2 linked regions of the Struthio camelus genome follow. The protein of the gene in region 1 binds, or shares a complex with, the protein of each later gene. Links are inferred from orthologs where the notes say so. Each region holds a gene or a part of one and is shown in the gene's direction. Other genes may lie near its edges.

Region 1 (11,504 bases):
TTGTGTATGAAAGAAGCAAAGGGGAGACAGAAAAGAGATTCTTTGACTTCAGCACAGCCTTTTCCAAATAATACTAAACAGTTTTTTAGAAACGTATACTACCCTCAGCCCATAGCAGAGCCCATCTACTCTGAATGCACCACGCACTTGGCTTTGGTGCTCTTTCTCTGATCCAGATTGCATCAATGGAAGTAGAGAAAGTAGATCAAAAGTGACAGGTATCAGTTTACACAACACGCATTTAAACGTATTTCTTTGCCTAGTAAATGGGCTGCCTATTTTATCCATTTTCCCTTAAAGCCACAAGTAGCAAACAATATCTGGCACTTGTTTAAAGCTCATTTAGATGCACTATGCTTTCTCACTAAGAAGGATTTCATTACCTAAAACTAATAAGCAGTCATAATTGTACCATCTTTTAATGTGACATATTTGAAGTAATGGAAACTTCAGAACCTTCTCGCAAATTTACTGATTATTAAGCTTGCTGTTTTGGAGCATGCAATAGCTTTGTAAGTTTGTTTGCTTTGTACTTAGGCACAGAGGAGCACAGGAACTCTTGTAACAGAGCAGACTAATAACCCATCAAGTTCATTATTCTTTCTTTGGTATACCCTTCATCTGGTGACTCAGAGCAGTTTTCAAATCACCAAATAAAGTTAATTCCACACTATTTTACGACAGGAGGAAGAGTTTCTGACTCCAGGAATATTTATGGTCTGTATGATAAAAAGGTCACTTTCTTTCAAATGTACATGACTCTTTGAGCTGATAAAAGATTTCTTTCTGTTAGGAGTTCAAGAAGTGTTATATATCAATTAATATTACAGTCTATGTGTACGTTTAAAAGAAACATATATGGTATTTCGTCTATCTCCTTTAAATTTCATGCATCTCCTTTCTTCTGCTGTCAAATATAAGACAATTTTGTTTTGCATATGCAGGGAAGGCATTATATGGCTGTGTATCTGATGCTTGGATAGAATCACTTTTCAATATGTGCTTCTACAAGTTACCTTAGGTAGAAGACAAAATATTTGTGTATGAGTTGCATTTCTGCAAAGAGAAAATTTTGATTTCTGAAAACAGTTTTTGTCCTTGTTTGTACATATGTTTAAAATGCATTCCTCTCTTTTTTATTCTTGACACCTGACAGAGGAGAATGGCAGGGCTTGTAACGGTGAAGTGCTCCTATACAGCAAAGCCATCTTCTGAAAGGGGTAAGAGCAATTTCTAAGGGAGACAGTTCAGCTTAGGTTAGCTGAACCTAACTGAAGCTAGGAACCTAGCTGGAAGCTGAACCTCTTTCTGTCTTTTCACACAGAAATAGTATGATGGGTTCCAGTTTGTATTTGGCAGTAGGGCATTTTTTCCATCATTCTTTTATATGTCTTCATAGACATTTCCACCCTGCTGGAAGGAGGCTAAGTAAGCTACCTGTGCTTATGTAAACCAGTTAGGTTAGTTCTTGCCAGAGTTACACAGGCAAAGCTGATTCTGCCACAGCGTTAGGGGCATAGGCTAGCTAGGCTCCTGCACTCTCTCTTTCAACCTTAATTGTAGAAATCTTTGTTATTCTGTACTAGATTAGGGAAAGTGGGAAGAGAACCAGCCCAAGACAAAATTATCTAAATGAGATTAGTCTGAAACAAGCTTCTTTCTGGGCATTCTGAGCTTGATTCTGATCCAGGTACAGAGTTGCAGTCGGCAAGTCAGGAGCTACATACACAAGTAACAGTATTCCTTTAGTGGGAAAAGCTGGTGGAAGTGAGATCAGGCTTGGAAACCCAACAATCATAAACCAAACTCCTGCTTACCTAATCATAAAATCATTGAGATTATTTGCAGTATAGCAATTCACTGAAGCAACTCCTTTTTTCCCCTCTCCAGGTGTCCATGCTGTAGGTCCCACGTCTTAGAGCATTTCTTAAATAGCAGGGCTAGAGATAGCCATACTTAAACACACGAGAGATGTTTTGGCTATATCCATGAGGAAGCACCACCTGTAAAGCAGCATGTTGCGAGCACACCTCTAGAGCTCAAAGCGCAGGTAATACGGGGCAGAGGAAGCCCGCTTTTGGGGGGCTCAAACAAGCAAAAGCTTCACGGTGTAAGGGAGGTGGTGGCTGGCGGGCGGCTGCTGCAGCGAGGCCGGGGGCTGAGCCTCGAGCAGGCGCCGCGGAAGAGGAGGAGGAGGAGGAAGAAGAGGAGGGCGGCGCGCCTCCCTCCGCCGGGCCGGGGCGCGGCCTCTGCGGGCGCAGCCGCTCCGCGTCCCGCGCGCCGTTCCGCGTTCCGCGTCCCGGGCCCCGCGCGGCGGCGCGCCATGGAGCGGCGGGTGGCGCGGGAGTTCAGGCACAAGGTAAGCGGGGAGCGGCGGCGGCGGTTCCAGCCTCTAAAGAGGGAAGGAGAGGCCAAAGCAGGCCTGTGTGCCTGAGTTTTCTTTCAGGGCTTGACACAGTTATTTCCCGCGCCTCAATACAATCGTGTCAGGAAACACTGTTGCAACAGGGAGTTCGCATTTGCGGTTCTGCGCAGCAGCAGCCGGGGCTCAGGAGCGTCCAGAGCCACCTTAACTTTCCAGCGACGTGCATTTGTGCATGTGCAGTCATGTGCAAATGCGCTTCGTACATGGAGCGGCTCGGTCTGCCTGGCACGTCGTTTTGTCACTTACCTAGTCAAGTAAGTGCTCTGTAGAGCTCATGATCGTGTGAGCAAAGTAAGCTCAAAGAGCACTTTTTAAGGAAATGAATGGAAAAAAAGGTATATACCTTTAAGGGATGCTTTGCCGTAGCAGTTTACAACTGTCTCAGACTAAAGTTTTTAGTGCCTTTTTTTTTTTTTTTGCTAGTGAATGGGATTTCTCTGAGGTAAGTTCCAGAAAAGACAGTAGTGTAATGTTATGTTCTATAGTAGTTAAACGTGAACTGGTAATAAAACCCTTGACTAAAGAATTGTTAGAATGAAGTAGAGGGGCTGCAAATAACCAGCTATATACGAAATGAAGTCCAAAAACTTTAAGGACCTGGATACTGTGTACTTATGACTACTGGTATCTAGCAAGTTATTTCTGCCTTGCTACCTATTATTGTATAACTCCGCAGTGGGTTATGCAACTTGTCTATAAAGTCTGGGCAAACGGTTACCATCTTGAACCTTAAACCTTATTCCTTTTCGTCTCTGCTATAATTCATGAATCATCCTAGTCCCACCCTACTAACACAAGGAAGCTTTATCACCGCCATTCATTGGTGAAAGTAAATATGATGCATGTCTACATGAAAATGGTTTATCTGAGTAAGACAATATTGAAGCAGGTGTTCTCCTTTAAATTGTTTTGTATCAGCATGCTTTTAGTGGCCTCTGTAGAATTTTAATATCTTGTGTACTTGCTTTTGCTGTGTCAAAACAATGAAAGTGCACAGCTACAGGACCTGAGTTTCCGGTCAATTATTTGCCACTTCCATTTTGTTTTTGTTTCTCTATAATTTTAATCAGTCCTCCCTATCAACTAAGCAGCAAGCCTAGAGATTAATTATTCACAAGTATATTGGCCAGTTCTTCCATTTTCTGAAATAGTTTCCAAAGGCTTCGTAGTTCAAGTACAGTTTTATAGTAATTTTTGAAAGCTGATGGATTAGGCTACTGCTACAGTAGTGCCTCACTGTAATAAGCACTTTTGGTGTGGAAAATTCCAGGGTTTTTTTTTCACAGTTTTTATTCTACTAAATAACCTGCTATAGATCTCTTGCAGACTTTTTGTATGTAGGTGCAATTTTTGTGATGATTTCTTATTAATTTAAATGGACAAAACTGTGTGATATATGTAGTAAGAAATAGAGCATAAGCAACTTTTCATATGTATTCTGGGATTGAGAGTTACACAAGAACTATGTGAAAGTTGCACAACTGCTATAGTATCCTTAAATAATCAATATGAAATACCTTTATATTAAGAACATCCATTAAGTGTCTACCTAAATAACATATTGCTTCTTAATAGAGGTATCTGCAGCTGTTTATCCTAGCATTTCTGTATCTGCTACAAGATATGATTTTGTAAGATGTGTAATCACATGAGCTTTGACCTTTCATATAAGAGACTACAAATACAGTACCTAATGTCTTACGCTAAACAATCAGGACACATGTTCATTTTATCAAGTCTCCACACAACTGATTTATTTTTCAGTTGGTAAATTGTGCTGTGTTTTAGAAAGTGCGGCAGATGTCATGCTGTTCACTATTTACTGTTTTGTGTTTCAAGTTCAATGGTGCATGTGTTGAAGCTCACTGAGGAAACAATAAATCGATGTGTCCATTTATGCATATTCATTCTTGCTTACAGAATCTGTCTCTATGTCAGTTTTCTTAAAAACATATTTGAACCTGAAGCCTTTAACAATTACACCGATGTTAAAATGAACTATTAGATTTGACTAGATCAGCAATCAGCTCCGTGTTTTACAATAGCTGGTAGCAAAATGCTTCTGCAGCTAGTGAAAGAAGCCCATAATGGAGAGCTGTGTCATGGCCTGCGCTTATAACCAAGAGGTTTTCTATCACTTGCAGTCTCTGTTTTAATTCCAGATGCTATTTTTATTTAGATAAATGTCTGTTGCATGCTTCTTTGTTTTTAAGCTTGCTATTTCAATACCAATGTAATGGCAATGATGGCACTACTCCAACACTGTGTCCAGATAGAATATCCGAGGAATTACACCAAGAGGTTAGAAACAAGCTTCAAAAATTCACTATGCTGAAGTCAGAGGTTAGGAGAAGTCCATCTTGTTAACCTTGTTGAAGAGATAGGTATGTGTCTTTGTCATAGTTGGTACATTAGCAGAGGAGTTTACTCTCTCTGTGTCATAGTTGGTACATTAGCAGAGGAGTTTACTCTCTCTGTGTGTGTACTTATATAACGCTGAGTACTGGATCCACTCATCATGCACATTACCTTTGTAGGTATGAAACAGAATGGTGTGTTATAGCCCTCCGACACAGAGAAGATGTTTCTGAAAAAATAAGGTTACTCATATTTAACAGACCCTTATGTAAAATAATCAGATAATTTACATACTGGAGGTGGAATAATCTGTCCAAATTTTGCATAGAACTTCAGTTCATTCTAGTCTAAGTTTGTCACTTCAGGATTCCTCTGTAGTCATTGGAGAAAGGATGTAATGAAGTGTCTTCTGCAGATGTCTAGGATGAAGTATCAAGTGGAAGTGCCTGCCTTTATCCATTGACTATGAAGGAATCCCAGTCATATGCTTTAAGCTATATGTCTAACCTACAGATGAGATGAAGCCCTCCTGCTCAGAGTTGGGTAGCTTTCTAAAAGAGATGGTGCAGTTCAACCAGAAGCCATGGGCTTGGTGCACAAATCAGCAGAAATGGTATAAAAGTTGAATATAATGAAAATGAGCAGAATGGACTCTCCTGGGTTTACAGGCTATGAAATCATCTATCCCATGCCTCCACAGTTACATTTCTCAAGAACCAGAGAGCTACTAAAACATTTTACTGGTCCAGGTTACACCATGTTGTCACTGATTTATTGCTTAACCTGTGAGGGCAAGAACTTTTGAGATTTCTGCAGAGTCAGCTTTTAGAAGCTGCTGATGAGACTAGCTAAACTGTATACTTACAATAAGGCTATCCCAAGGAGTTAATTATTTAGAAGAATGGTAAGAGATGGCAGGTGGCTACAATAAAAATGATAGTTGGTGAAATAGGAGGCAGCAGGAGAAGAATGACCTGATTAGAGAGAAGGTCCAGGAAGACTTTCCCAGCAGTCGTGTTCTGAATAGATGAGACAACCAACATCCAGGTAAACTTCACAAGGAAGGAGCAGGTTGCTGGCTTAGAGTGAGAAGTGTGGTAATCAAACAGAAAAGAAAGGCCGAATGTAGTGTGAGAAGAAATTTAGATGCAGACCTTTGCTGCCTAAGGAGGGTGGGAGACGTGCCCACCAGCTAGTGCATGAGAGAAAAAGTACGTTGTTACTGGTTGCTTTCCCAGTCAGAAAGAAAGAAGATGAGGGTTTTGGCCTTTTCTCTGCGAGGGAAACAGGTTGACGTATTTGGTACTCTTCACGAGATCATATAAGCAGGCTTGTACAGAACCATAGTTAGCAGTAGAAGTTGAGTCCCTTAGACCAGGCCCTAAGCTGATTCATGCTGTGAGTATTTTTACTGATGGGAAAGAGAGAAATGAATATTGGACTTAGAAGCAACTCAAGGTGATAAATATAAAACTATGTATGGTATTGGTGAACCAGTCAGTTATGAATGCAAATGTATTATTTCCTTTTAAGGTGTTTTGAAATTCACTGTGAATAAATTAGTTTACTTGCTAGTAAAGCAATCTTGAGTAGGATTCATGCAGTCCTGTCCTGTGTGTAATTTTTCTAGCCTTTAATTGTTTTGAAAGTATTCTCTTCCACAGGATATAATTAGGAGAAAATCACTTATAAGTGGAGTCTGGCTGACTTCAGAGAGCAGAAGGGGTTGAAGAGAATATGAAGCATTTATTTAGTTTAGACTATACTACAAACTGGTGCAAATCTAGAAAGAAAGGAACTTCCTTTAAGTATGCAAATTAGTCTTCAGACTGCACGTCACAGTAATATTAGCCTTTAGGTCACATGTAAATGGTTTTCCTAAACATTAAGCTTGTCTAAAGGAAAATCGTGGTGATGTGAACTCTTACTGCAAGTAAGATCAGTGGGGTTCTTACTGTTGTCACTGAATATAAATTGAGCTCCTCATATCAGATTTCTGTATTTTTTTTAAATTTTATTTTACTGTAATTATCCAAGAACAGGCATTGTAATGTGATACTAGTTTAAGTAAATGTACTATTACTAAGGGAGGAAAGAATAACTAGCCAGTTCTATCACTTCAGAGCTGGAGCGAAGAGGAACAGCAGTGTAGAAGTTTGCATAATGTTTAAGTGAAATACGGAAATCGGTGGTTTGGAGCCACGGAACATAGGTTATAATTATATCAGTGTGATGTTTTTATCTGTGACAGCATGTGCTATGTTAATGAATGGCCAAAAAGGTTTCTGAAAACATTTATTCAACAGTACACTGATTATCAGGTAAGGCAAATGTGATATTATTGTGACAGCATTGCTCTGCTGAGAAGAAATCTAGCATATAGAATGTGTGATTTCAGTATTTACTGCCTTGTTCAATTACTGCAATATTAATTTTAAAAAGTCTTATTGCAAGCTTCGTATTTTGAGATAAAAATACTGTCTTGCAAAAATGTGCTGCTTTATTATTTTTTTTTTTTATAAAAACTTTCCCCTCTTGAAGTCTTTGGACTATGGCTTAGGAATTTGTGAAAGCTTTGTATGTTCAACATTTGTAGCTACTTAGTAAGAAAATTACAATAAAGTCTTTGGATTTTCAGGTTAATCTGCTAATTGACAATGAAGCTGAGAAGGATTACCTTTATGATGTGCTGCGGATGTACCACCAGTAAGATCTAGCTTTATATATGTTTGTGTTGAATTTCACCAATATTTTTAAAATTGAAGGATGAACATTCAATATTTTATGAAAGCAATCTTTCTGAATACCATCTAGAAAATAAAAGTAATAATTTCTAATTCTATGTAACGAAGTCTTATACTTTTGCAGAGTAGCCTGCTGACAAAAAAGGAGTATTTACTGTAGCTAATACTACAGTTTCTTTGTTTTTATGGCTTGTCGGTTTTGTGGACCTTTATTGGGAGGGAAACAAGAATGCAGGTAATAAAGCCGTACTTAGGAAACGGAAGAGAGTATTGATAACATTCATTAATATTTTCAAAGAATGCATATTTATTTTGGTCGGAGGCTTTTGCTGAGTCTGCTTTTTAAAGATTTTTGTAAACTATTCAGATTAAGAATTATTTTCAACTGTTTTATCTGAAAGCTGAAAAAAATTAGGCTGGGCGTCTGTCTAGCATGTTTAACAACTTCGATTTATTAAGACATAATGAAAAGGAAAAACTGTAAGGTGATAGGCCAATTACCAGTCCTTTTACTGAACTGATTTAAACCATGGTTGCTTAGGAGTTATATCACTGCAAATGAGATCAGCATCTGATCCATTGTTTCTCAAAGAATATGAGAATGTATTTTCCACTCATCACAGGCAACTGGCTCTGACGGACATTGTTTCCATTCATATCTTAACTAATAGCATCTCAGCTGAGTGAGATGTAGATGTTTCCATGCAGTGTTTGTACTGAGCTATCATTTTGGGTGTATTCAGCTGCATATCTGATTCTGTTTCAGTCGGGTCTGTCCAATTGTTTCTCCATTCATAAAGCCTGTTGTTTGGAAAGCAGGTTGAGTTGGTAGCTCTTAATTATTTAAAATCTTCTTGCAGTTACAAAATTAACAATGCATATAGTAACTTTTCCTCAATATCCAGAACTGCAACAGCTTTTGAGTAAAACTTCAAATATTGCTGTGAGGATTTATTGATCAAGCTGCTGCTGCTGCTTCTTTCTTTTTCAAATTAATTACAAAGCATTTCAAGGACAAAAATATACACAATTGCTATTGGCATTAATATTTAACATCTGCTTCACTGTGAATAGTGTTTGCAAATCAAAGTATATGGCCTCTAGTCTCATGTAATAGCCATTCCTGATCTGTATTTTCAGTATATATACCTCAAAAATATTTTATGTCAGGAAACCTAATTGGTGAGAGAGGGAACAGCAGATACTGTAGACTAAGTTTAACTGGATGCTACATAGGAATAGCTCCACTTATATAGAGCTGTTCCATGCTTGCAGCTGGGCAACAAAGACCACTTTCTAGAGCTATGAGTATCTCGGTGCTGACAGTATCAAGGATTACTTTGCATAGCTGTCACGAAAACAAATGGCCACAATAGTTTCACTTGTGTAGATTTTGTTAGTGGTTAACTTGGTTAATGACCCTTCAGTTTTGGTTTGTTTTGGTTTGAAACAAATCTTAAAACGGGTCTTTTCTCTATTGGGTATCATGTGATTTCTTCCTGGGTGGAAACAATTGATTAGTCCCCTGAATTCAGGAGAGGAAGGAATTTGTAGCCTTGGAAGGACTGTGAACTAGTAAGGAAATAGAAGTATAGTAGGCAGATATAACTGGTCTGGAAAGTTATTTCCAAACAATCCCATAAGTCTTCTGTTGGGGACTCTGAGAATGAAACTGAAGATGTCTTCTATAAAGATGTGATGTACATCATGTTAACAGATGTAAGGTATAGGAGACTTCAGTTATTTTTAAGGATGTGGTTACTGTTCCTACCTACCTATCTCGTTACAGAGGGTTTAGTTTTTCAAAGACTATTTTGCTTTGGTTTAAACAAGAGCTGCATAAATAACTTTCTTAGTAGGTTGAAGGCATACGCAGATATAACTTGCTCCACACGTAGCTTAAATTAAATAATACTTTGGTATGTTGGTTAGCTAAGCCTTTTTCTCACTGTAATTTTGTAGATCTATGAATCTTCCAGTGCTTGTGGGGGACCTAAAGCTCGTGATTAATGAACCAAGCAGATTGCCTCTGTTTGATGCTATCCGCCCACTTATCCCATTAAAACACCAGGTGGAGTATGATCAGCTTACACCCAAAAGATCACGGTAAGAGAATGCAGATAAGGTAGCGAAGTTCAGATAAATATACGCAAGAAATATTGCCTCATAGAGCTTATTTGAAAAATTACTTGAGCAAAATACCTGTTAGCTCTATAGAGCTGGGCACAATTTTTTGATGTTTGCTATAATTGCCAGAAGTACAGTTTTGAGCTACCTGAAACTGTTTGCCATGTAGTTTAATCTAGTAGAAGCAGGGTATGGGAGTCCAAAAACAAAGCTGAAGCAATCTTTTTTTTTTTTTTTCCTTCATTTTTCCTGCATTTAATAAAAAATTCTCTTACAGCTCTAGCCCTCTAGAAGCATACACAGCTTCCACAGTTGCAGGTGTCTTTCCTTGTTTAAAAAAAAAAAAAAACTTAATGGTTTTAGCAAACACACATCCATCAAATGTCAACTTGCTCTTTTTTCCAAGTCTGAATGAGGTAAGAGAAAAGTAATCCATAATTTTAGTATGAAGCATTGTTGCCACAAAGTATTATGCAGCTGAACAGCCAGATGTCTTCCAACTTTGCAGAAAGCTGAAAGAGGTGAGACTGGATCGTTTGCATCCTGAAGGACTTGGAATTAGTGTGAGAGGTGGTGTGGAATTTAGCTGCGGCCTCTTTATCTCCCAGTTAGTTAAAGGAGGACAAGCAGACAATGTTGGTCTTCAGGTAAGAAAATGATATTCATGGTGACTGTGCTGCAAAAAAAGCCTTTTTACTATGATGTTAGGGATGCATCCAATAAGAAATATTCTTTAATATTTATGAATAGCTGTCACTAACATGCTCTTTGTCTCTTATAGTAAAATTCATAAAATATATAAGTCAGTACCATAGTAATTATCACTAATGCCAATGGTGAATTAAGTTATTTTTCTTTTTCCTTTTTTTCCCTGCCAATAACAATGATATATAAACCTTTTTTGTGTGTTTGAGGTATGATAATTTTTGAAGATAAGAGCTTTCTAGAGTATTTATACTTCATGCGTAGGAAAAATTAAGTGTAAGCAGATGGAACAAAAGATCTTTTCTAACTACCTGTGGGAGAATGTTTCAAGTTACGAAATTATGATTAAATGTAGAGCATAGTACATAAATACTAAAAATGTTAATTCCACTTTGCAGTGATATCATTTGTGTAATGAGATGTTTAGTTAAACTTCTGTGTATAGACGACTATTTTGTTTATCCTGTGGAAGCACATAAAAGCAATAACCCAGTTTTAACCCTTTCCAATATCCCTTGAGCTGCATGCAATTGCTCTTTCAGTGATTAAATTCTAGATACTTGAACTGTAACAAGACTGGCAAAATAATATATATTAAAAATACGTTTTTTTCTCTAAGACAGTACTTCTGTAATGCCCATTAACAAAGATTTTTTTTTAAAATGTGTATTGTTTATGCATTTATCTTAACTAAGGTAAAAGTGAGCAATTGTTATGGGAAATGTCTGCCTCTTCCTATGCCTTTGTACCTGATCAAGTGAAGCGTTGGTCTGTGTTTCTCAGTAGGAAGTAATAACACTGATATGTCTGATTAATTTCAATTTGTAGACTGTGAACAGTTGCTAGAAATGCTGACCTTTAAGGATGACATTTAATATTAGTCCAAAAGATGCCAAACTGGCATGATTCAGTATGGTGTTGAATTCAACTAGTGTGTTCTGTAAACGTGGCTTCACTGTAACCCCTCACTACTCTTGAAAATCAGAAAGTGCCTGTTCCACAAGTTAGGTAGTCACAGCTAGGGTTCCATGTTTGCGTGATTCACTCTGAGATGTTTCTAAAATTCAAATAAATGTTCCTCTCTGGGTATGTGTGCATACACTTGAGCTTATGCATTCATGCCTACATACCTTGCTAATTCAGAA
Region 2 (10,893 bases), on another chromosome or scaffold:
TAATTGAATTCTTGAGGTGTGAGAAAGTGAAAAGACAGATCTTAGGAACAGAAGAAAATAAATCGTACAGATGGTAATTTAGGAACGGGATGTTAAATTGGGCTTCAGGGAATAACAGATTTTGCTCACATGTATTCATCTGTCTTTCTTTTTGCAGTTAGAGACCTATGCATAGAGTAGATTTTAGGAGCTCCCAGCCTGAGTGACAATAGCCTCGTTTCTCTTAGAGACTGGCAATTTTGAGAAAGAGCTGGTCTATGGGGTGCCAAAGTGCTGGGAGCTTGGATGGGACAAGAGCATGCCTGGCAGTGTGTGTCATTGTCATCAGCATGCTCTGTAGCAAAATATTATAATTTTCCTGCAGGCAGAACACATGATTAGTGTAAGTATTTTTTAAATTTACATTATTTAGAAGCATCTCTTTAACATTCATCCCTGTGGGAAAATGGCAAATACAGAGTTAAAGCTGTCATGCAAGTGGGGGTGTCAAGCGTGCGCTACACCAACAGGCAGGCACCAGTTGGGATCCATAACTACTCCAGAGTAAATGGCACCTCATGTTAGCAGTATGAGGAGAGACAGAACCTGATGGCTTTTGCCATCAGTAGGACTAGTATGTGGCTACGCTTTGGTGAAAAAATAATTTTCCAGAGACTCCTGAACTGGAAGTCACAAAACATACACCAAGACCCTTCACTTTTCTTCTTTTTTTTTTTTTTTTACAATCAGATTAATTGTTTTCAAAAGCAATGATAATACGGAAAACTAATGAAACAAACTCTGAAGCCATACGCTAGTTTAACATATCTATTTTTATTAGGTTGGGTTTAATTAATACAGTCAGGGAGAAAAAAGGGCTTCAGGTGCCCGCCCTCGAGAGAACCGTGCAAACGAAGTACCTTCAGGCAGGACCAAATCCGACGCAAAGTTAAAACTTACCCAGTTTCCCTGCCCTGATTCACAGCTTCATTAAGTTGGTGGAAAGACTCTCAGACCTGGGGAGCTGTGGATGGTGCTCCCAGAGCCTGGCTGACCCTGGGCCGGTGCCGGCGGGTGAGGCCGGCTGGCGAAAGCTCAGTCTCGCCTCAAGTCTGAGTGATGCTGCCAGCTTGGCGGAAGGCTGCGGAGGCCTGAGCAGAGGCAGCGCATGGTCTCTAAGCAGGAGGAGAGACCGTCCCTGCCGGCTAGAGTTCACTAAGGGTTTTGCCCACCCTCAGATGCCTCGCAGCAGGTTGTGGCTTGTGTTAGGCGAAAGATGGTGTCGGACCAGACAGCGTTTGACAGGCAGAGCGATGCCACTGCCGCGGTCACCACAACTGGATTTTCCCTGCAGCACACGTTAGCAGCTCTTAATAGCAATCGGGCAGTACGTAAGTTTGGAGGATGCGGTTCATCAAAGCGCGCTAAGATAATTGGCTGTTGCTTCATTTAACATGTCTGAATTCAGAGTGTGCGACTTGAGCTACAGAGGAAGCACAGCCGTCCCTCTTCTCAAAAAATTCAGTTCCACCCGTCAGAATTGTTGAACCTGTAGGAATAATTTTGGTCTGCGTTACATAGCTAAACAGTTAATTCATGCTCTGAAGAGCAAAAACAGCTCCGTGGCTCTCATTTTTTTTTGCTGCAAAAGCTTGGCAGGTCTCCTCTCCTGTTTCTCTGCTTTTCTCTTCTACTTCTTTGACTTTCTGACTTTTGGGAAAAAAGGCATTACCCAAGACCAGCGCTGAACACCCCAGAAGCGAGGGCATCGCATACTGACCCTGGAGAGCATGGCTCACGTCCTCTTGGATGTCCTCTTCTGACACACTGGTGGTAGGACAACATTTCAGACAGCAGCGAGAGCAGGGCTCACTTTCCTTCTCCATGAGACTATTTGTAGCACTGCTGAAGTTATTAAGGAAGTTATTAAGGAAAAAGAGGCAAGAAGGAGGCGTCAGCAGCGCAAAAAGCCTCGACGCCAGGCCACACCTGCTGCCGCTGAGCGCTCCCAGCTAGGACACCTATTCCAAGGGCCGCGAGGCCGCGACAAGCAGCATCACTGCTTGCAGGGCCACGAACGCCCCCCGGGCTGCTCGCCCGTTCCCAGCAGGCAGGGCGGCGAGGAGGGGCGCGAGGTGAGGCGGAGGCGCGCCTGAGGAGGGACGCGCCTTTGGTACCGCCACTGTTATTGCCTTCCCAGTTGGGGGATAACCTTTCCCGATGGATGATGGCCTTGCTCCCGACACGACCCGGGCGGGCAGAGCGTGGGGCTGCCCCGGCACCGCCGGACTGGAGCCTGGCTGTGCCCGAGCCGAGCTCACCGCGGGACGGGGTCACGGTCGGCGCCGGCCCGTCTCGCCCAGCCTCTCCGCGGAGACAGGGTCGCTCCAGACTACATATAGCGACAGGATCCTGGGGCGCCGGGGTAGGCGTTGTGCCTGTATCAGGAGTGAAGAAATAAGCTTTTATTGTTGTTTAACTGTCGTCGTCATCTCTGAATTGTGTAACCGCGATCACCCCGTGTGACCAGCTCCGCTCTCCTCTAAGGCCCATTAGTTCCAGTGGGATCTCATTAGAGGAGCGGAGGAGACCTCCCCCTGTACGGCTTTTACCATACCACATTTGCCACTTATAAAAGTTGCGATGAGGAAATGCTGTGCTAGATAAGACCTCATGCAAAACAGATGGCACAACAACATCTCTGTTTTTCTCCCAAGGCATGAAGCAAGACTGGGCTCTGAATTATCTGGAACAACATAACTAATGGTTCGTTATCCGGAACAATATAACTAATGGTAGTCTTCAAATAAGTCTGAATAAACCCTAAATAGTTTGCTTAACTGCTAATGTCATATTTAAGATAGTTCTTAAAAAATTGGAGAAATAATCATAGACGTAACAAAATCCAATAATAAAAATCAAAACTGCTAGTTAAATAATTCATTAGTTTACAACAACACGTACCATCACAATAGGCTTTCTCCTGAGCCTGGTAAGACATTTCAATTGGAAGTGAAATGGTTTGGAAGTTCTTTTCAAACCCCAGAAGAAAAGCTTCATTCTAACTACTCAGGGAGTTTTAAAAGTTCACAATTTTGAGCCTTAGTCTCAGAAGAAAAATCTCCACTCAGGCTGAGAAATTTAACTCTCTCACGCTGAGAAATTTAACATCATTTGCTGTTGAAACATTTATTGCATTTAAATTGAGGTTTTTAGGCGGGGCAAGGATTCACAAATACCAGGATTTTAGAAATAGATGGAGATTTTGTTTGATCTTTTCTTTCTCTTTTGTGATGTCCTTTTTGTGATATAAATAACAAGAGAGTTTGCAAAGTCCTGGAGCACCTCTCCACTTGAAATGGGTTTTGCTTTACATCTAGTTAGAACTTGCAACAAAAGTTTTCCACTTAATGTCAGATGAAGTAACTGTCTTTTAAAATAAACATTTGCACCTATGACATGATAAAGATCACTTTGAGATCACCATTTTGCATGCTAAATTGATTGCCACAAAAGCTAATGAAGGTATTTCTATAGTAGAAAACAGCAGTCTTGAAAAACAGAATACAAAACTCTCCTTTGCCACGAGCTCGCGTTCATGGGTGTTGCTAGTGTTGCTAAGAGTGTGAAATTTAACCGTACGGGAAAAAACCTTGTCTTCTCTCTCATACCAGGCACTGGTGGCATGTGCAATACCTGCCTTCGTGACCCACTCGTGAGAGACTAAGAGCTTACAATACCCAGTACAGCAAATAAAATTCAATGGCAACAAGGAACAGCCAATCTAATATATTCATAACAAAGTGTACGTATCACTGTCTTCATCCTGCAATGTTTTTTCTAGTAGTTGTAAATTTAACCCAGTGCTGAGCCTGGTTAAACAGAAAATGGAATAAATAGCTTTGCGTTTTTGGTTAGAAAAGCGTTGATGGCAACGCGGGGAACTGGAAAAAGGGCTGAAGGCAAAACTGTCTTCTAATGCCAGACTGGAGGCTGGCCTGGGTGAAGCACGGTCCTTCCCCACTTGCCTGACACTGCAGGATAGCACCTGGGGACGGCCGCCGCTGTGGACGACGTGAAGGAAAACCAGGACTTTAGGTTACTCCTATGTAGACGTGTTTATTCAAAGATTAAAATCAGTTACAGGACCTGACTGACTCTCCTTGTCTTCACGGAGGAAAATGTAGGTAAAAGCTTGTTCCTGAAGAGCTCTTCAATCCCTGCCTGAGAAAATAATTAAGCGAGAAAGCCCATTTGGAGAGGTCTCCCACGAATTAGGTAGAGGGCATTATGGGAAATAAATGAGGTTGCACTCCACTCAGTAATTGCACCAATTCAAGACAATGACTTCGTTTGCGATTGCTCGTTTTGCCTCTGTAGCAGGGGACGTAATAAGCAACAAAACCTCACTGCTAATTGCCGAGAGTACGTTCTCTAAGATACAGGTTAATTCAGTTAGTCGTAGAAAACAGCTTGACAAAAAGTAACATTTATCTGGCAGCTGTCATGAATGTGACCAGAATAACAGCCTCCAGCATTTTATTAAGCTATCTATAGTCTCTTACTGATTTCTCCCTCAACTACTGTTCTAAAACTACCATTTTAGTTATTTTTCACTTAGTTATTCTTTTGAATCTCAGAATTAGAATTATGGTCCAATTCTATAAGCCTTTACTTAGAGAGGTAGCTGATAATCACTCAAGCAATTCCAGTGAAATCAATGGGAAACATTTCTAAAGAAAGTGGTACATATGTGAAAATGGGGCCTGTTCCCAGGTGAGGAGCACAGTGGAGATCAGGGCAGTGGGCGCAGGCCCATTGGGTTTCTCCTTCTTGAATTCCCTGTGCCACTTTGCGAAAATCATTCAAATTTTTTCACCTGCAGCTAAAATGGAGATAACAGTACCTGTAAGATGAATTAGTATTTGTCAAGTGCTTTAAGATTTTCTGATGAAAGGGAATTTGAGGTAAAAGGACCACACATTAGACGGTGGTTTTGCCTGCTGGGACTGGTGGACCCGCTGGCCAGTTTTGGCTGAGCGCCACCGCAGCCCTGCCAGGGCTGTTCCCAACCCACACGTTGATCTGCCTACGCAGAACAGCTCCAGGGATGTGGGCAGTTTTGCAGGGGAGAGACTTGTTTTTAGATGTAGTAACCCAATAAATGATAGGTTACAAAGGACTTCACTGGTAAAAATAACTGCTTACAGAGTATTTCATCCTATCAAAAATCAAGGATACTTTATTACTGAGGGTGAAATTTGGTCTTGTTGACATCAACGGCAAATCTCCTTTTCAAGTCAGTTGTCCCAGAACAGTTAGGCAAAAGCAGCTAAGACACAGAGAAGATGAATGAGTCCCCTCTATGTTGAAATAGTCAAATACTGCAGTAAATGGGGAATGCAGAGTCACCTCTCAGAAAATGAAAGCATTAAACATACCGCTGCCTTGTTTCTTAGGCACAGTTCCAGACGACTTTCCTGCTAGGATGAACTTTGCCTCCCTCATTTCCATCCTGAGGATGACGTCTCAACTTGTAATTATTGATTAACTATCCCTGTAATGGAAGGGTGGCTGTCCTGTCTGGCTGTCGTTCAGGCCTGCTCTGGGAAACCAGAAATTACTGAAAATGTCCACCAGGTATCACAAAGCAGCAGCTGATGGCAATTTGGAGCTCCTGAAAGAAGCCACTAGAAAAGATCTCAATACTTTGGATGAGGATGGGATGACGCCCACCCTCCTGGCAGCGTACCATGGGTATCTGGAAGCTCTGGAAGTTGTATGTCGGAGGGGGTAAGTGAATCGGGCTCAGTTTCTTAGAGCTTGTGGCACAAAGCTATAAACAGCGTGTAGCATTTCTAGTGCTGCCAATGTGTCAGACCCAAAAGGCTGAATATCCTGGTAATTTCTTCCTACGGTTGTGTCTCTTCGTTCACCTTGGTTTAGGCCATGAACCTGCAAACAGCCCTGTAGCGGCAGGTCAGCGAAGCCACATCAACAGCCCTGGGACCCTGTCACGGACATGGAGTCTGCAGGCAGCAGTCGGTAGCAACAGGGTCTGGGACCTAATCCGGCCTTAATGGAGGTCAAAGAAAAACTACTGTTTGTCTTCTGTAGAGGTTAACTTACATCTTTGAGAATAACATACTTTGAAACTAGCTCTATAAAGAAATGTCTTGAAACATTTTGAGCAAAAGAGCTCTGTCGTTTGCTTCCAAAGTGCAGTCAATGCCTGTGAAGGTCTAATGCTTTTCTGAGGCGTCGCAACTGATAGTTTTGAGATGGTAATACCTAAAATTGTTATTTCTCTGCTCTTTATATCATTACCAACTACTACCATGCTAAAAAGTTCATGATACTGTTTCAGGGGCTCAGGTAGGATCTTTGCAAACTAAAAAAAAAGAAAAAAATAAAGGAAGGTTTTATACAGGTGTACCTGCTAGTAGTAATATTTCTGATTGGAATCATTTACACATACTACATGCTTAAAATATATTACTGAAAAGGTCACTAGCTCCCCGTATCATCCTCTGTACTCTCTCTGCTTGAAGCCTATCTTTTATGCTGTGGTTCTGCAAAAAGATCTAATAAAAGAGAAGCTTTTCATGTGCAGAGATACAGTAAAGAAAATGTTTTTTTCTGGGCTGAGATGAAGATTAAATTGACCTGTATTTTCACTTGTAATAGCTGAAAGAAGATTAGAGGAAAAAGTTGAACAGCTATTTGGATGTATTTCGGTTTTCTTTTCTTAAAAATAGAACTGAAAATACAGACTATGAATAGGCATGTCATAGATTTGCTTTATAGCTCACTGAGCTCAGGTGTGGTTGTAATAGCACAACAAAAAAGACCTTTGGACTGTATGGTTATTGCTGTGTCCCCAAAAGCAGCAAAAATAGACTGACAGATTTTCAACTTGTATAATTAATACAGCTCCACGGAAATACCTAGAATCAATACAGGTTTGTCTGTGAACACAGACAGAACATCTAGCTAAGGAAACAATAACAAGATAATCTTCAGAATCTGAGGGAAAAATATATAATCTACCATATATGTTGATAGAAGTCACAGCAGATGACACAAAGATCAAAATTCCTACGTATTTGTTACTCAGTATATTTCTGACTCTATTTTTCTTGGTATAGGACAATTTTGGGATAGTGTTGCCCTCAAAATCTTCAAACATATGCATTCACCGCTATTTTAATCCAAGATTCCTTGACACAGTCCATAGACTGAGGCAGTCAGAGACAGCGCTGTAGTCTTACTCATCCCTCCTTGGCCACTGGAGAGAGCTGAACTGTGGAAGATTTTCCCTGTTCTACAGGCCAGCAATGTTTTCTTGTGAGAAAATATTTTGATTATTTTTAACAAATTCTTCCTTTCCTTGAAGTAGAGGTGGTTTCAGGGGTTTCCTGACAAAGGCACTCAGACACAGGATGGTTTTCTTTAGAGTTGTTGCAGATTTTAGGACTCTGAAGCCTGCAACACAGTCGGCCTCTAGAAAATGTGGCAATATTAACAACAACTCCCTTTCATCTTTAAACAGTTTGTCTTCCCAGGCAGTAAGAGATCTTCTCTCTGCCTGCTGTGCAGATACACGACCAGAGGCAAGAGCAAGCAGCAGACAGCAAGTAGCAGATCTGCTCACTTTTGTGAGCACTTTTGCCTCCTTCCTCACACTTGGGAAAGGAGAGAAAAGAGGAGTATGAGAACCCAAAGTAGATGTCAGACTTTATCCAAAGCCGCCCTGAGTAGGGAATCACCTCTCTAGCTTGTGAATTAGTTGAGAGCCAAAGGCTGGAAGGAAAAGAAACAGCAAACGGCTATGAAGAGACCTGGGGGGACGGATGACCCAGCACTTCTAGGCACTCCTGAGCCAGACGCAGGACAACGTAGCCCGATTGCTAAATTGGGGATTAAGGAATCTGGCTTCTAGGGCATGCTCTACCACAGGCAGGCAGTTCCCTCGGGCAGAGCCAGAAAGCAGAAATAGGTACACATTTTCCATATGTCTAAGTCAAAAACTGATCCTGAGCTGTCACCTCCTTGCAGCAATGCCTGCGCTCAGATTTGCTGTTGTTTCTCTGTGTGAGCAGCTCTGTGTCTGGGTCCACAGGGACCGCAGTCTCCCTCATCTCCCGCCTGTGGCATTGTAGTCTGAAGGATGTTCTCAGATTTAGCGCTCCTCAGATATGTTAGTGCTTTTCTCCCAGTGATATGCAAAGCCAGAGATCAACACCTGAAGGAAATTCTGTGACAGGACACACCATTTCATCCATAACACAAGGGCCGTGGAATAAATCCCCCAAGACACTTAAATGTTTAAAACTCCCAAGAGAGGAAATTCTCTTTGTAAATTTGACCCCTGAAGTTATTAAGGATTTTGGAATATGGTGAGTGCCTTGGTTATCGGGCACAGAAGATTCACGTGCTGTTCTGAACCATTGCTAATATTGATCCTACCAAGTATGAGTGAAAAGACTCAAACCAATTCTAATCTGCAGGCAGCAGTTCAGCGTGAAATGAATGCAAGAGTTAAAGAGAAAGCAACGCTTTTCACTGGCTTGAAATTCAATTGAAAAAATTTGGCATTTTATTTTCAAATGAGCTTCTGCTTTCCAAGCCCCATGAGCAAAAGCGTTTTAAGGAGAACAAAAGAGCTGACCGGGGCAGGGGTCTAACAGCAATGGAGACAGATGGGTTGTCAGGGCTTGACTCATAATCATCTACCTATTACCTATCAAAAAGGTTACTGATGTGCGCACATTAGATATATATCACTGTGATCAATGAAGAAGCCTCCTACCATTGTCCCTGCATGTGACATGCAAAAAGAACAATTTGCCAATAGCTTTTAAAATACTCTGGCCAAAAGCCACTGAAACAATTTTACCATTAACTCTAGTGAGTGTAAGTCAAAGTCTGAGGCTGCTTTCAGCAAATTTAGTGGTAGAGCGATCAGAGCTGCAAGCGCTTGTCCTTGCCCACACACAGGGTGGTTGCTGGCTACTGGTCTATCGCAGGAGGCAGGGGGGACCAACAGGGAACCAGCAAAGCCGTACCTGCAGCACCCCAGCAGTCTCGGGGCTGACACAGAGCAAGTACCCCAACCCCATCGTGGGGATACGCAGTCACACGTGGCCCCAAAGGGCTTGCTTAATTCAGAGAGGGCCAGGACTGAGCACTGATGCCATACATGCAGCCAAACTCCATCCCGGGGTAGGTAGGTGCAGCACCAGCCTAGAGAATGGAGCTAAGTCGGGTCATTTTCACTGGGGCTGTACTTCTCACAGCAAAGCTGAGTTAACCTTTTAGTACTCGTTTGATCCCAGTGCAGTGTTATGTTGGATATGTCCAGCTCACCATATGCTATTTGCCTTCTCAGAGGTGATCCTGACAAATGTGACATCTGGGGGAACACTCCTCTCCACCACGCTGCTTGCAATGGTCACGTCCATTGTGTTTCTTTTTTGATCAAGTTTGGTGCCAATATTTTTGCTCTGGACAATGATCTCCGTACTCCTCTGGAGGCAGCTGCCAGCAGAGATAGAAATGAGTGTGTCAGCATCCTGGACAAAGCCGCCACTGAACAGAACATGCTGAATCCAAAGAAAGTCTCAAAACTCAAAGCTCAGGCCCAGAGGAATGCAGAGAAACAAATCAGGGAATGTGAAAAGCGCCAGGACAAACACCAGCATGAAATGAATCAGAATTATATGAAAGAAAAGCTTGGCTCAGTAAATTCTTCCAGAGGGACACACTCCAGAGGAAAGGTGTCTAGTCTCTTTACTTCAAATACAACAACTTCTTTCTCCAAAAATCTGAAAGATACCTTCAAATTGAAGGCAAAAAAGACAGCTGGTAATGCAGGAAATCAGGAAACACAAAGCAACGGCCAAGAGGATAGCAAGGATAGAAGAACAACTGTGATGCATTTATTTGATGAAAAAGATGAGGATGAGTTACTGAATGACCTCAGAGAGATAAACTTTTCTGACAATGACAGTCAACTCTCTATTTTCAAGCGGCCAGGTCTTGGCAAGATTGTATTTGGAAGAAATTTGGCTGCAGATATAAATCCAGAAGCTATACCTTCTGGGAAAGAAAGCATCAGCTTTAAAATGTCCAGTGAGCTCTTTCAGCATGAAAATGCCGAGAACGGCAGGGAAGATGATGCTGAAAATAATGCTAATGTTCCTTGGAACGAGGAGGAACTCGTCTGGGACGACGAGGAAGGGGAGAACACGCCCCTGGAGGTATTTCTGGCATCACAGATGCTGGATGAGTTTCTTCCAGTCTTCATGAGGGAAAAAATCGATTTAGATGCCCTCATGCTATGCTCTGATGAAGATCTACAGAGCATTCAAATGGAGCTGGGACCACGAAAGAAAGTCCTGAATGCCATGGATAGAAGAAAACAGGCACTCAAGAACCCTGGAAAAACTACAGATACTCGCTTATAAACAAGCATATTTGTTTCTGGACCCTGCACACTGATTCATTATCCTTTGCTCTTTCACAATAACATGCAGTTCTCCTCAGACATCTGCTAAAGCAAAAGGCAAAGAGGTTACCAGTTCTTTTAGCATGTACAGTGAGGCCAAAATGCTTCTCTCTGGATAGATGACTGCAGTGCACAAGACAGAAATGCAAGTGTATTCTGCTAAAAGAAAAAAATTAAAGGTAAAAAACAAAAAACCTCTAGATTTAAAACTCTCTCTCCCAGAACTGTCTTACGGGGATTGGATGTTTTTTGGTGCAAATAATTTCAAATATTAGTGAAGGCCAGGCACACTGCATTCCTTCCCTTCCCTTCTTTTTCAAAACCACAATGCAAAGAGCATTCCCGCAGCTAGGGAGCTTGGAGTTTTCTCTCTTGGTTCCTGTTAGATTGCCCTTCCTGCTGTC

The links.
Region 2: USH1C (region 1) and ANKS4B share a complex: the UniProt entries of both Homo sapiens proteins name them as parts of the IMAC/intermicrovillar adhesion complex. The link is inferred for Struthio camelus from reciprocal best matches to the Homo sapiens genes USH1C and ANKS4B.

The regions. Positions count from the first base shown.
Region 1 is NC_090946.1:20,459,218-20,470,721, forward strand, and holds the start of USH1C (harmonin), read left to right. Parts: upstream 1-7,020; 5' UTR 7,021-7,035; coding exon 7,036-7,104; intron 7,105-7,421; coding exon 7,422-7,489; intron 7,490-9,489; coding exon 9,490-9,633; intron 9,634-10,162; coding exon 10,163-10,301; intron 10,302-11,504. UniProt on the Homo sapiens protein: Anchoring/scaffolding protein that is a part of the functional network formed by USH1C, USH1G, CDH23 and MYO7A that mediates mechanotransduction in cochlear hair cells. Required for normal development and maintenance of cochlear hair cell bundles.
Region 2 is NC_090956.1:9,585,744-9,596,636, reverse strand, and holds the start of ANKS4B (ankyrin repeat and SAM domain-containing protein 4B), read left to right. Parts: upstream 1-5,515; 5' UTR 5,516-5,608; coding exon 5,609-5,772; intron 5,773-9,370; coding exon 9,371-10,448; 3' UTR 10,449-10,893. UniProt on the Homo sapiens protein: As part of the intermicrovillar adhesion complex/IMAC plays a role in epithelial brush border differentiation, controlling microvilli organization and length. Plays a role in assembly of the complex.